3 linked regions of the Coturnix japonica genome follow. The protein of the gene in region 3 interacts with the protein of the main gene of each other region in a biochemical or structural test. Links are inferred from orthologs where the notes say so. Each region holds a gene or a part of one and is shown on either strand. Other genes may lie near its edges. The genes, in order: DOCK1, RAPGEF1 and CRK.

Region 1 (3,649 bases), on a different chromosome or scaffold from region 3:
TCGCCTAATGGTGGAGATGCAGAGGTAGCACATTAGTATGTGCTGGGTTTTACTGAGGGTTTATTTTGGAGTGTCGCATAGAATGGTGCCCTCATGTCTGTGGGGTTTATGTTTACCAAGAGTGGAAAATTTGTTGAAGTTTGTAGTTTGCTGTTGAACATCAGCTGTCATGCAGAAACTTGGCTGAATGATGCTGCGACTCCAGTGGGACCCGGAGTGGGATGGACTGGGGCCACTTTGCAGCTTGATGCCAATGAGAAGAGTCTGCTTCCAGCGCCCTCCCTCCCATCTCCATTTTGTCCTATGTGTGCTTCTCCCTCCAGCCTAGATGAGGCGTTCATGGAAAGTCCTGTGGAGCTAATGGATAGAGGGTGGGCAGGTTGGCTGTAGAGCAGCACTGCTGGCTCTCCTGGCTGTCCTGGTGCTCTGAACGTGCCATGGGAGACACAGAAAAGTTTGCCTTTTTGCCAGGAGCAGCGTAGGCTCTTTTCTCCATCTGACTCGCTTCCTTTTATTTAATAAGTGAGTGCATCAAGGCATCTTAATTTATTTCATCTTGTTATTCCTTATGGAGTCCTGCTTTAAGATAGAATTTACAACAAACTGCATTTTCTTGATCAAATATAAACAAAGACAGCAAGAGCAGGCACACAACAGATAACTCCTTTTACTGTCTTAAAGGTTTCAGGAAGATTCTGTAACAGTTGGCTGTTTGTTAGGTTGAATTAAATTTAAGTTTCTTCTGTTCTTGAATTACAGTCTCAGAAACAGAACATCGATATCAACAGACAAGCCAAGTTTGCTGCCACTCCTTCGTTTGCTTTGTTTGTAAATTTAAAGAATGTAGTCTGCAAAATAGGGGAAGATGCTGAAGTCCTCATGTCTCTCTATGATCCCCATGAATCAAAATTCATCAGGTTAGTGTACTCCTGAGTCCACTCCCTTCTCTGTTCTTCCTCAGTCACAGCAGTGTGGTAGTTCTGCAGGATGGTGCAGGGCTTATGAAAGTCAAATTTCTGTGAAATGTGCAGGACAGGCTTATCTGGGAAGTAATGATGCAGCAGCACTTCAGTCGTATTCAGCACAGCATCCGGCAAGTCCCTTCACCCTGGGTACATTTCAGGGTCGTGCTCTTCCTTATCACACCATGTCTTTGGTTCCTCAAGTGCAGAGCTTAAATGAGACATGAACGCACCTGCAAGGCTGTGTGTGCTCTCTTGGCAGCAGCACTGACATCACTGTGAGCTGTTCCTGCACCCCTGCTACCTTGCAGAAGAGCTGCTTTTCTTGTTGAGTGATACATGCAAAGGAAAATGGCAGCTGTCTACTAAGTAAATATTAATTTGATTAGTAGATAGATTGGGCTTAAGATATTCTTCTGTAAGTTGATTTTATAACCGTACATTCAGTGAAGCCATTTAAAGAAAAAGATTCTTCAAAATGCTGTGTTTTTTCAGTGAAAACTATTTGGTGAGGTGGTCAAGCTCTGGGCTCCCCAAGGACATCGACAGGTTGCACAACCTCCGAGCAGTGTTCACTGTAAGTCTGGGTTGGGGTTGGTTCAGTTTGCGGAGCCTAAAGGATTTCTCTCACGTTCTGTGAATAACTGAGGAGTTATTAACCTCAGTGTGAATGGTGGAGTTGGCTCTGCCAGTCACAGTCCTGCTGGAGGCTCCTATGAGACATTTCTCATAAATGTCTCTTTAAAAACTTTTAAACACAAGGGTGAAGTTGCTCCGTGAAGGTTTAATTTACTAGAAATGACTTGACTTCCTAAGGAACTAATTCACACAGAAGTCAAGATAAGGCGTAACTACCGTTAGAAACATGCTTAAAATTCTGGGAACGATTTGTTCTTGTGCTACGATGACGAAGGCAAATGTTCTAAATGTACTGAATGGAACTTGTAATGCATTCGACTATGACAAAACAGTCTGACAAAACTTTATATTTCTAGGACCTGGGCAGCAAAGACCTGAAAAGAGAGAAAATCAGTTTTGTCTGTCAGATTGTGCGGGTGGGCAGAATGGAGCTGAGGGACAACAACACGAGGAAGCTGACGTCGGGGCTCCGGCGGCCTTTTGGAGTAGCAGGTAATTCTTGTTTGCAGCATCCCTAGGTGTCACATCGCATGGTTGCCTGAGCCTGTGCTTAATAACTGTTGTTTCCTGCCCCTCAGGGTGTCCCCTCACCACTCTTCTTCCTGCACTTATCCTTAAATTCAACGTACTTTGTTTTTGTTTTCAGTAATGGATGTTACCGACATAATTAATGGAAAAGTTGATGATGAGGACAAACAGCACTTCATACCATTTCAACCGTAAGTAACGAATTGCTTAAAGAATAAGCGGAAGTATAAAGATTGTGATTTTTTATTACAGGTTTAAATGTTGATTGCAAGGTGTGTTCTATAGTATTCTGAAGTTGATTTATCTCAGTCTGATAGCCTATATTAAGCATTACTTCTTAATTTTTGTTCTCGGCAATTTCCCAATAGTTATGGTACCATCAGCACCAAAAACTTGCTTTAAATTTTTTCAGTTGAGTTTTGAGGGTACATTCTTGGTTTTGTCCTGTTTTCCTTTTATTTATTTCTTTATTTTAAACATGAAGATGTCAGGGTTATCCCACTTCAGAAGCGCAGTGCTCGAAGTAGTTATGTTGCTGGTTCAGCACTGGCTAAGACTGAAAAAGGCATCCAATCCAGGTGACCTCTGTGAAAGGAGTTAATGACAGCACGTATCTTTTTCTTGGTAGGAGATGAAATGGCACAGTAAACAAAATTGTTGTAAAAGCAGTTGTAAAAATAAACGTTGAGAATTTGAAAGATGGCTTGATAAACGTCTTGGGATATTTCTCATTCTTTGGCCTTCATATGACCCTTCTCCAGAGCCATTAAATGGTTGGATGGTGAAGGAGATCTGCCTGCTGTGCATGTTATAGTCGATGTTGGACCATGGAGATCAGCATCCTGCTTGGTCCTGGTCTTGGTTTCAGTCTCCTGAACCTGCAGACCTTTTCTATTTTAACAGGGGAGAACTGTGGCAAAAGTTCACTTCTATCCGCAGTTCTTGGAGGTCTCTATTTTTTATTATGTGAAGTGTAGAAAGGTAGAAGGGATAGAAGGGATAAGTCAAATGCGTGTGTGTAGAGCTGCAGTGCTTGGCTTATTCTTTCTAAGAAATGTTATGCTGCCATCTGTTCAACACTGTGAAAGATAAAGTAACATTAACCAAAAATTCCTTGATTAATACGCTAATGGGTATTCAGAGGGGTTTTAGTAATAGAGAAAACCAACCAAACAAAAGAACTTGAAATGATGTGGTCACAAATTAAACTTCATTTTGGTAAAAAGGCTTTATTTTGGAAGTCCTCATGTTTGAAGATGAAGCGGTATAGATAGAATACCATGGTGCTGCTAGGAATGGACGTGTGCCTAATGTCTAAAATGGTTTTGTTTGTATGAAGCAGCATCCGTTGCAGTGAAAATCATAAGTGTAACTCTGTTTTTCAAGGGAAACAGACTTCGTTAGGGAAGAGCGCTTTCATGATATGTTTATTGTATGGCAAACAGTAGCAAGTGTGGAAATGTGCAGTGAAAATGAATCTGTGTGTGTCAAAGTGGATGCTAATGGCACATCTAGTTTTC
Region 2 (3,649 bases), on a different chromosome or scaffold from region 3:
ATGAGCTAGCAGGGAAATCATGGTAAAAAAGGGCTGTGTCCCAAATAGCATCCGGTGGCTGATGTGGATGCCTTGGTGTGCTCAGTGGAAAGCATTGTGTTTCCACGTGTCATTCCCAGGCCCATCCCTCCTGTGTCCAGGAGAGTGTTTAAGCTATTAAGTCACAAGCCTTTCTACAGGAAGCAGTTGTTGAATGAATATATAAACATTAATCAGAGCAGGAACTGCAATCTGCATTTTTTTCACTTCTGTTTGAGAGCTCTGACCGCAGGCCATAGGCATTCTGCCTGCGGAACGTCCAGCCTCTCTCATCCCTGAAATCTGTAATGGTTTCATATGAAGTGCCTCTCCATAGCCTGGAATGGGCCGTGCAGTGCTGAGGGTACATGCCTGAAGAATGGGAAATGTGGTGGTTTTTTTGTGATCATTGAGTTGCCAGGATGCTCCTCAGCAGTAAAGTTCAGTGGCTGTGGGTGGGCTGTGAAGCAGGAATGGAAAGGCCCAGCCAGCTGCTTTGTCAGAAGGGGAGGCAGCAGCAAAGCTTGGGGCTTCCCAGATGAGATGGAAATGACGGAGTGGATTTGGACTTAGGCTTCAAAAGTCAGAGCTAGGTGGGACTTGGGACTCTCTTTATGGATCTGGCCCCTGGTTACTAACCAGTGCTGCCTGTAAATTGTTCATCCTGAAGCCTTTTGGGCTGCTGGCCTGATTTTGTAAGAAAGCAGCAGTTCAACTGCTGACAAGAGTACAGGGAGCTCACAATGCCCATAGGTCATTAATTCTTGAAGCTGAATTTACTGAAGAGATAATGGATGAAACCTGACTCTGTTAAGCTCTCTGCTCCTTTCTAGCAATGTTCAGTAGTTAATTTAAATCTCACTTAGGAACTACTTGTGGCATTAAAAGTCCTCCAGGCATACCCTGCTAAACTTCTTTTTTTTTCCCTAAATAGCCCCATCCAGAATGCCATTAGGATGTCATATATCACTTCTGAATTTCCTTTCCTCGTGTTGGTGATGACACAGAAGTTGTTGGTAACAGCTCAGCTGTATGCCAATGAATTGTTCCCTTCTGCAACATCCATTAACTGATGCCAAAGCTTGGCTTTCACAGTCTGTCCCTATGGAAGGTGTGTGGGTTCCCTTGTCCCAGCACCATCACGATGCCTATTAGGACTATTAGAAATCAGCAGTAACGTTAATCTTATCCAAAAACTGATCTAGTTAGCCTTCATTTTGCAATGCACATCTTGTAATTCAGAAAGTCAAAATATGAGTACAATTTTGCTCTGACTGTTCCCTTGAAAGGATCATATTTATGGTGGAAGGGTTTTCTTTTCTAGTATTCTGAAGTAGAATGTACCTTTTCAGTTTCACTCTATCCTCTTCAGATAAGTAAAAGTAACTTTTCCCTTTAAAATCCTGACATTTTAACTTTTCTCTCACTTTTTCTTCCTCTCCAGAACGTGTCATGGCTAGAGGAGAAGGAGAAGGAGGTCGTCAGTGCGCTGCGCTACTTTAAGACGATTGTGGACAAAATGGCAATTGATAAGAAAGTATTAGAGATGCTGCCAGGCTCAGCAAGTAAAGTGCTGGAAGCCATCCTGCCCCTGGTGCAAACTGACCCACGCATCCAACAAAGGTAGCTTTCCTTCTTGGGTTTTGGAGCTATGGCAGAGCAGCAGGCTCCTCAGCTTCTTTCTTTTTTGTATTGTGTGGCATGTGAGATGGAAAATGGTAATAGTAACAAAGAGGTTGTCTGCCATTCTTACTAAACAGTGGATAATTTTCAAGCACTACTAGAAACAAACTCCGTGCTGTGAAGAAGTCCATGCTATGGAAAGATAAAACAACTTAGAATGGTTTTATTCAGTCTGCATTCAGTTTATCCATACTGATAAAAGCCTGCACTGCTGACTGTTGGTTGGTTATTTGCTTTTTATTTTGTTTTACGGAAGCAGATATAGAACAGAAATAAACAAATGTACTTCAACAGATCAGCCAGTCTAAGTTCATTCCTGTGTGCTCTCCACAGACTGATTATAGGCTTGCTCTGATGCCTACTGTATTACATTTAAACCAGTTAGATGACGAGTTTGAAGTCAGAAAGGATGTAGAAGTTGGCCAAAGCAAAGCTCGACATCCACTGAAAGAATCTGTGGTGTCATCAAGCCGCAGAGATCTGCCTGCCTGCTGCTTGTAGGTGATGGAGAAACTGATTTAAAAAACAAAAGCAAACAAATATCATTGAACAATAAGGAATAAGCGAAATTATTACACATGCAAAATTAGACAGAGAAATGCACATACATATTTTTATTATTATTATTTTTTCTGAATCCTGCTGGTTTTTGCTGGATTCCTGTTTTCCCAGTATGTATCTCCAAGACTTTTGGTTTTGAGATGTTCAGTTGTACAGTTGTGCAGCAAGAAGGGTTTATGGTACGGTCAAGACAGCTGTAGGGTGCCGATATTTTATTAACAGAGATATAGTGCTGTCTGGTCCCAGTACACAGGACATGCTTTTATCTGACAGCACAAAGGGAAGGAGACAATGGTGAGTACCAGAGCTGTGACTGGGACAGGGGGGCTGCAATTTAGGTTGGGTTTGTGGAAGTACAAAGAGAAATAGCTGTTAGAATTGGAGCATTCATCAGGCTTCTGGATTCGGGCACAAAAGTTTCTTCCGTTGCTATCAGGTTTTCTGCAGTCATTAAATTCCTGACAAGCACCTGCTTTCACTTAGTGAAAGAAAGAACAAACTTTCCTGTTACATCAGGAGAACATGTAAAATGTCAGCAAATATTTTTAGGATAGAAAATGTCATCTTTGTAGTCGCTTGCTTTGATTTGTGTATCCGCTGGGTGATCTTTCCTACCAAGAATATATTGGAAATAAATATCAGCTAAGTGGTCTTCAGCAGCAGCAATATTTCAGATGGCTCTATTCTTCAAATTCCTCCTACCCTTTCCCTTAGAAGTGAGGTAATATAACCTTGACAGTTGGATATCCACATTTAGCCTGTAAGCAGAATTCCTGTAGTCAGTAGTCAGTGGAGTCCTCCTTAGTGATGAATCTCTCATTCTGGACTGCAGCACAGATCCCTTGTGTATGTTCTGCCTTGTTTGGCTGCACAGAGAAAAAGGGGATTTGTCATTCCCTAAAAGCCACGTCCTTTCATGACTACATATGCACTTTATTTATTTTGAGTAGTGGCAGGACACAAAGGGCTGCTTTTGATGGTAAATCCCCCTCAAGAAAAGAGAGCAAGACTTGTGTCAGTGTGGAAGAAAGCCCTACAATTACTGTTGGGCTTCTTTTTGCTTTAGGGGAAGGGTTTGCATCGAGGAAAAAAGTAATTAAATCTAGCACAAAATAGGCTTTCAATTACTGCCTCCTTAGAAGGAAGCAGAACAAAGATTAATCACAAAGAAATCAAAGCCAGAGAAAGAGATGGAGGAGGGCCCTATTTAGGAAATATCTCCCACTAAGTTAATTTTGTTTAAAATTAGAACAAATGGCAAACACTGTGCTTATAAAACAAACAAACTAAGAAGCCCTTGCTGCTGTCTGTATCCCTCTGGCTATAGGCTGACAATAGTTCTACCCCTGGTTCTGCAAACACCTGAATCATCTCACTTGGGTTTGTG
Region 3 (3,749 bases):
TGAGACAGTCACAGGGCTTCCCAATGCCTCACAAGAAAGCAAAGGTGCTGTGAGCCAGCACATGCACTTGCACAGTTAAGGGCAGCTGTGCTCCATGTTTATGCAAGTGCTGCCACATGGAGGCCACACAGTTGAAAATACACATTCCTTTGGGGGAAAAAAAAAAGCTTATAGAATTGAGCAGAGCTGGAATGGAATTGTCTATGCAGTTATCCAGACTCTGAAGATGTTACTCTGGAACTTGAAGCTAATCTAAACTTGGTACCTATTTCTCCATCCTTATAATTCTTAATGGTGCATACACCCACATGCACATTCCCCTGCAGCAGAAATGGAAGTGAAGCAACTTTATCTGCAGGCTCCTGCGGTCAGTGATCTTCTCAGGGTCAGAAACAGCTTGTTTTTCCACAGGGCTCTACTTAACACAGAACATCTCCCTGGGAAGGGTTTTCCAGTGGTTTTCCATGCAAACAGCTGTGAGGCAGGAAAATGCAGCTGGCTGGGAAGGTGAAAGCACCAACTGCAGGTGGCAGCTTCTCTCTGAAGGAAAAAAGACAATGAATTGAATCCTCAATGGAGGGACAGGAAGATGATCAGGGGCTGGAGCACCTCCCCTCTGAGGACAGGCTGAGGGAGTTGGGTTTGTTCAGCCTGGAGAAGAGAAGGTTGCGGGGTGACCTCATTGCAGCCTTTCAATACCTGAAGGGAACCTATAACCAGGAGGGGAGTAAACTCTTGGAAAGGGCTGACAATAGCAGGACACGGGGAAATGGTTTGAAGTTAAAAGAGGGAAGATTTAGGTTGGATGTCAGGGGGAAGTTCTTCACTAGGAGAGTGGTGAGGCCCTGGAACAGGCTGCCCAGGGAGGTTGTGGATGCCCCGTCCTTGGAGGTGTTCAAGGCCAGGTTGGACGGGGCCATGGGCAACCTGATCTAGTAAAGGTGTATGTTTGGTGGCCCTGCCAGGCAGGGGGTTGGAACTACATGATCCTTGAGGTCCCTTCCAACCCGGGTCATTCTGTGATCCTGTGGGTGCCCAGACGGACCCTCCGCACTCACAATCAGGTCTCACCTACAAGGCAGCACACACACAGCTCCCCTCAGACCCTGCGCTCCACCCAACGCGCATGCGCAGCCCCCACAGGCCGCCAACCGTCCCCAAGGCCGCGCGTTGTGATGACGTCACGTATCCCCCCGCGTCTCCCGCGTGCGGTCACTTCCGGTAGGTGAGGTCAGGGTAGGGGCCGCCATTTTGGTGCGGTAGGGCTGGGCGCGGAGCTGGGCACCGCGGGCGGCGGCGGCCCGCGGGGCGGGGGCAGCGAGTGCGGCCTGCGGGCGGGACGGCCCCCATGGCCGGGCAGTTCGACTCCGAGGACCGGGGGAGCTGGTACTGGGGGCGGCTGAGCCGGGCCGAGGCGGTGTCGTTGCTTCAGGGGCAGCGCCACGGGACCTTCCTGGTGCGAGACTCGGGCACCATCCCCGGAGACTTCGTCCTGTCGGTGTCTGAGAGCTCCCGCGTGTCGCACTACATCGTCAACAGCCTGGGGCCGGCGGGAGGACGAAGGGCCGGCGGAGAGGGCCCCGGGACCCCGGGTGAGTGACCCCCAGGGCTGGCCGTGCCCATCAGCCGCTGCGGGCCCCGCTCTGCGCCTGGTCCCTGCAGCTCCGCTCTGCTCACGGCCGGGTCTGAGAGTCGTGGTGGAGTCGTGTTGTGTTGGAGTCGTGTTGCTCTTTGTAGAGGACTTAATTCAATCTCGCCTTGCAGCCGTTTCCCTGCACCTGCCTCGCATCTAAACGATGGGACAGAGCGCAGCCCGGAGCCGTCACACTTTTACAGCTTTATGCCTTCTTTCGTTTTGTTTTAATTTGTGGGTGAGGTGTGTCAGCGTGGAGATGGATCCCTGGAAGTGTCAATTCAAAGGTTGAATTGGGTTGGAATAGTTGAGAGTTAAGAGGACAGATTGTGAGGCTAAACTTAGTCGTGAATCAAAGCTGGGTGGGAGCAGTGTAAAGGCGTTTGTTCCTTTAGATCAGATACGGAATTCAGGGTTCCCCCTCCTACACACACCTTGTGTTGTAAAGGGAGATTTGATGTTATTCCTCATCAACCTCTAATACAAACATAATGTACTTAAGTTAACCCTTGAAGTGTTGCTTTTGCATTGCAGAAAGCAATGATTCTGAACGCACAAGTGACCTGGAGCCTTCAGCAATGTATAATCTATCGATGTGTGATGAGAAGGTTGAATTAAGCAGCAGCCCTGATGGGGGCATTGCTGATGTTGGCGGTGGAGCCGCTCCTGTCTGGATGTTAATGCTCACAGAATGATGTGGGCGAATTGCTGGCATCTCTGAGAAACCACTACAAAGTCTGGAAGGCTGTATAATAAGGCTGTGTAATAGGAGAGCTAATGAACCTGACGAGGAGTGAAGTTAGGACATAGGTTGCTACAGAGACAGAAAGGCTGTGCAGACTGTAGTTGATAAAGAAGGAATCTGTTGGTGGTGGGTGGGTTTGCACCATTCTACAGTGATCTCTCCTGATTGGGGTAACGTTTAGAATTGACAAACTGGGGAAAGCCTGAAGTCATTGGGTTCATCACAGGAATCTGCCGCTGCTGTAAGGTGTGCTTCAGTCACACAAAGCTCTGCAATGCAGGAGATAAAGGTGGCTGCATTGAACTGGAAGCGAAGCGGGTAGTGAAGTGGTTTACCACAAGATACATTCGGTTCCTCAGCGTTTCATGTCTTATCAAGGCAAAGGTTTATTTTCATAGGTTGATGTGTGAAACGTGTGGTTGTTACACAGAGCAGAATAAGCTTCTATGGTGATTTGTAGTGGAGTCCATCCTGAGCTTTATTACTTTTTGGAAGTCCACTTTTTCCCCACCTTGATGTTATTGGAATAGGTGCTGCTTTGCTTTCACACCAAAGGTATTTTTGTGCTGAAATTCAAGTGGGTTTAAATGAATGTCATGCTGATGCTGTGCGCTTTTCACGCTCAAAGGAAGAAAGTGTGTGTGTAGTAAGTTACGTTTAACCTGTAATTAAGAATTTCCTCCAGGGAGAAATGTTCTTTAAAGGAAGGGACGTGCTATTATTGCTATAAGGTTGAAGATGATTTCAGGTTTGGATGGGGAAGGTAGTGCAGTGAAATGAGGTAAATGTTCACAAGTAGCTATTTTGGAAAAACCAACTTTACCATGTCAGTTTTCTATATGGTCTACTTATTTTTATTGCAATTGATTGTTTGACAGATGCACACAACTCACTGGAAAGCCTAAATATGCCCGGTCAGGTTCCTGTGTTGATTTATTGGCTTCAGGTGATTGAAATGCATGTGTGATTTGTGACTGCTTGTACCCTGCTGTGTGCAGGTGACAGTAGGAACCTGACTTTAAACCCATCACGTCTTTGCAGTTTGACATACAAGGATAGGGCCGTGATGTCTGGTGTACACTCAAACATCTAAAGACATCAGGCCAGAAGCCTGAAAGCCTTAACGTTTTTCTTTATGACATAGAGAAGTGTGACAGAGTGGAAGGTGATGTTTTCAGTAAGTATTATGCGTCTTAAGAACGTGCTTATTGCGCTCCATTGTGATTTTCTGAAGGATTCAGGCTGCACTTCCTGGACTCATGTTTTTATAGAGCATTCCTGAGTGCTTGTCTCAGTAGTGAGCAGACAGGCACTGAAGAACAAGGAGAAGAAGGTGTCGGAATGAAGGTGGGGGAAACAGGCAGAAGGTTT

The links.
Region 1: the proteins of CRK (region 3) and DOCK1 form a complex in vitro, tested with the Homo sapiens proteins (3 studies listed by BioGRID and IntAct, with this or other methods). The link is inferred for Coturnix japonica from reciprocal best matches to the Homo sapiens genes CRK and DOCK1.
Region 2: the proteins of CRK (region 3) and RAPGEF1 form a complex in vitro, tested with the Homo sapiens proteins (4 studies listed by BioGRID, with this or other methods). The link is inferred for Coturnix japonica from reciprocal best matches to the Homo sapiens genes CRK and RAPGEF1.

What each region holds. Positions count from the first base shown.
Region 1 is NC_029521.1:29,265,219-29,268,867, forward strand, and holds part of DOCK1 (dedicator of cytokinesis protein 1), read left to right. Parts: intron 1-759; coding exon 760-917; intron 918-1,457; coding exon 1,458-1,539; intron 1,540-1,957; coding exon 1,958-2,093; intron 2,094-2,247; coding exon 2,248-2,320; intron 2,321-3,649. UniProt on the Homo sapiens protein: Involved in cytoskeletal rearrangements required for phagocytosis of apoptotic cells and cell motility. Along with DOCK1, mediates CRK/CRKL regulation of epithelial and endothelial cell spreading and migration on type IV collagen.
Region 2 is NC_029532.1:4,849,288-4,852,936, reverse strand, and holds part of RAPGEF1 (rap guanine nucleotide exchange factor 1), read left to right. Parts: intron 1-1,462; coding exon 1,463-1,641; intron 1,642-3,649. UniProt on the Homo sapiens protein: Guanine nucleotide-releasing protein that binds to SH3 domain of CRK and GRB2/ASH. Transduces signals from CRK to activate RAS. Involved in cell branching and adhesion mediated by BCAR1-CRK-RAPGEF1 signaling and activation of RAP1.
Region 3 is NC_029534.1:3,973,356-3,977,104, forward strand, and holds the start of CRK (adapter molecule crk), read left to right. Parts: upstream 1-1,219; 5' UTR 1,220-1,348; coding exon 1,349-1,592; intron 1,593-3,749. UniProt on the Homo sapiens protein: Involved in cell branching and adhesion mediated by BCAR1-CRK-RAPGEF1 signaling and activation of RAP1.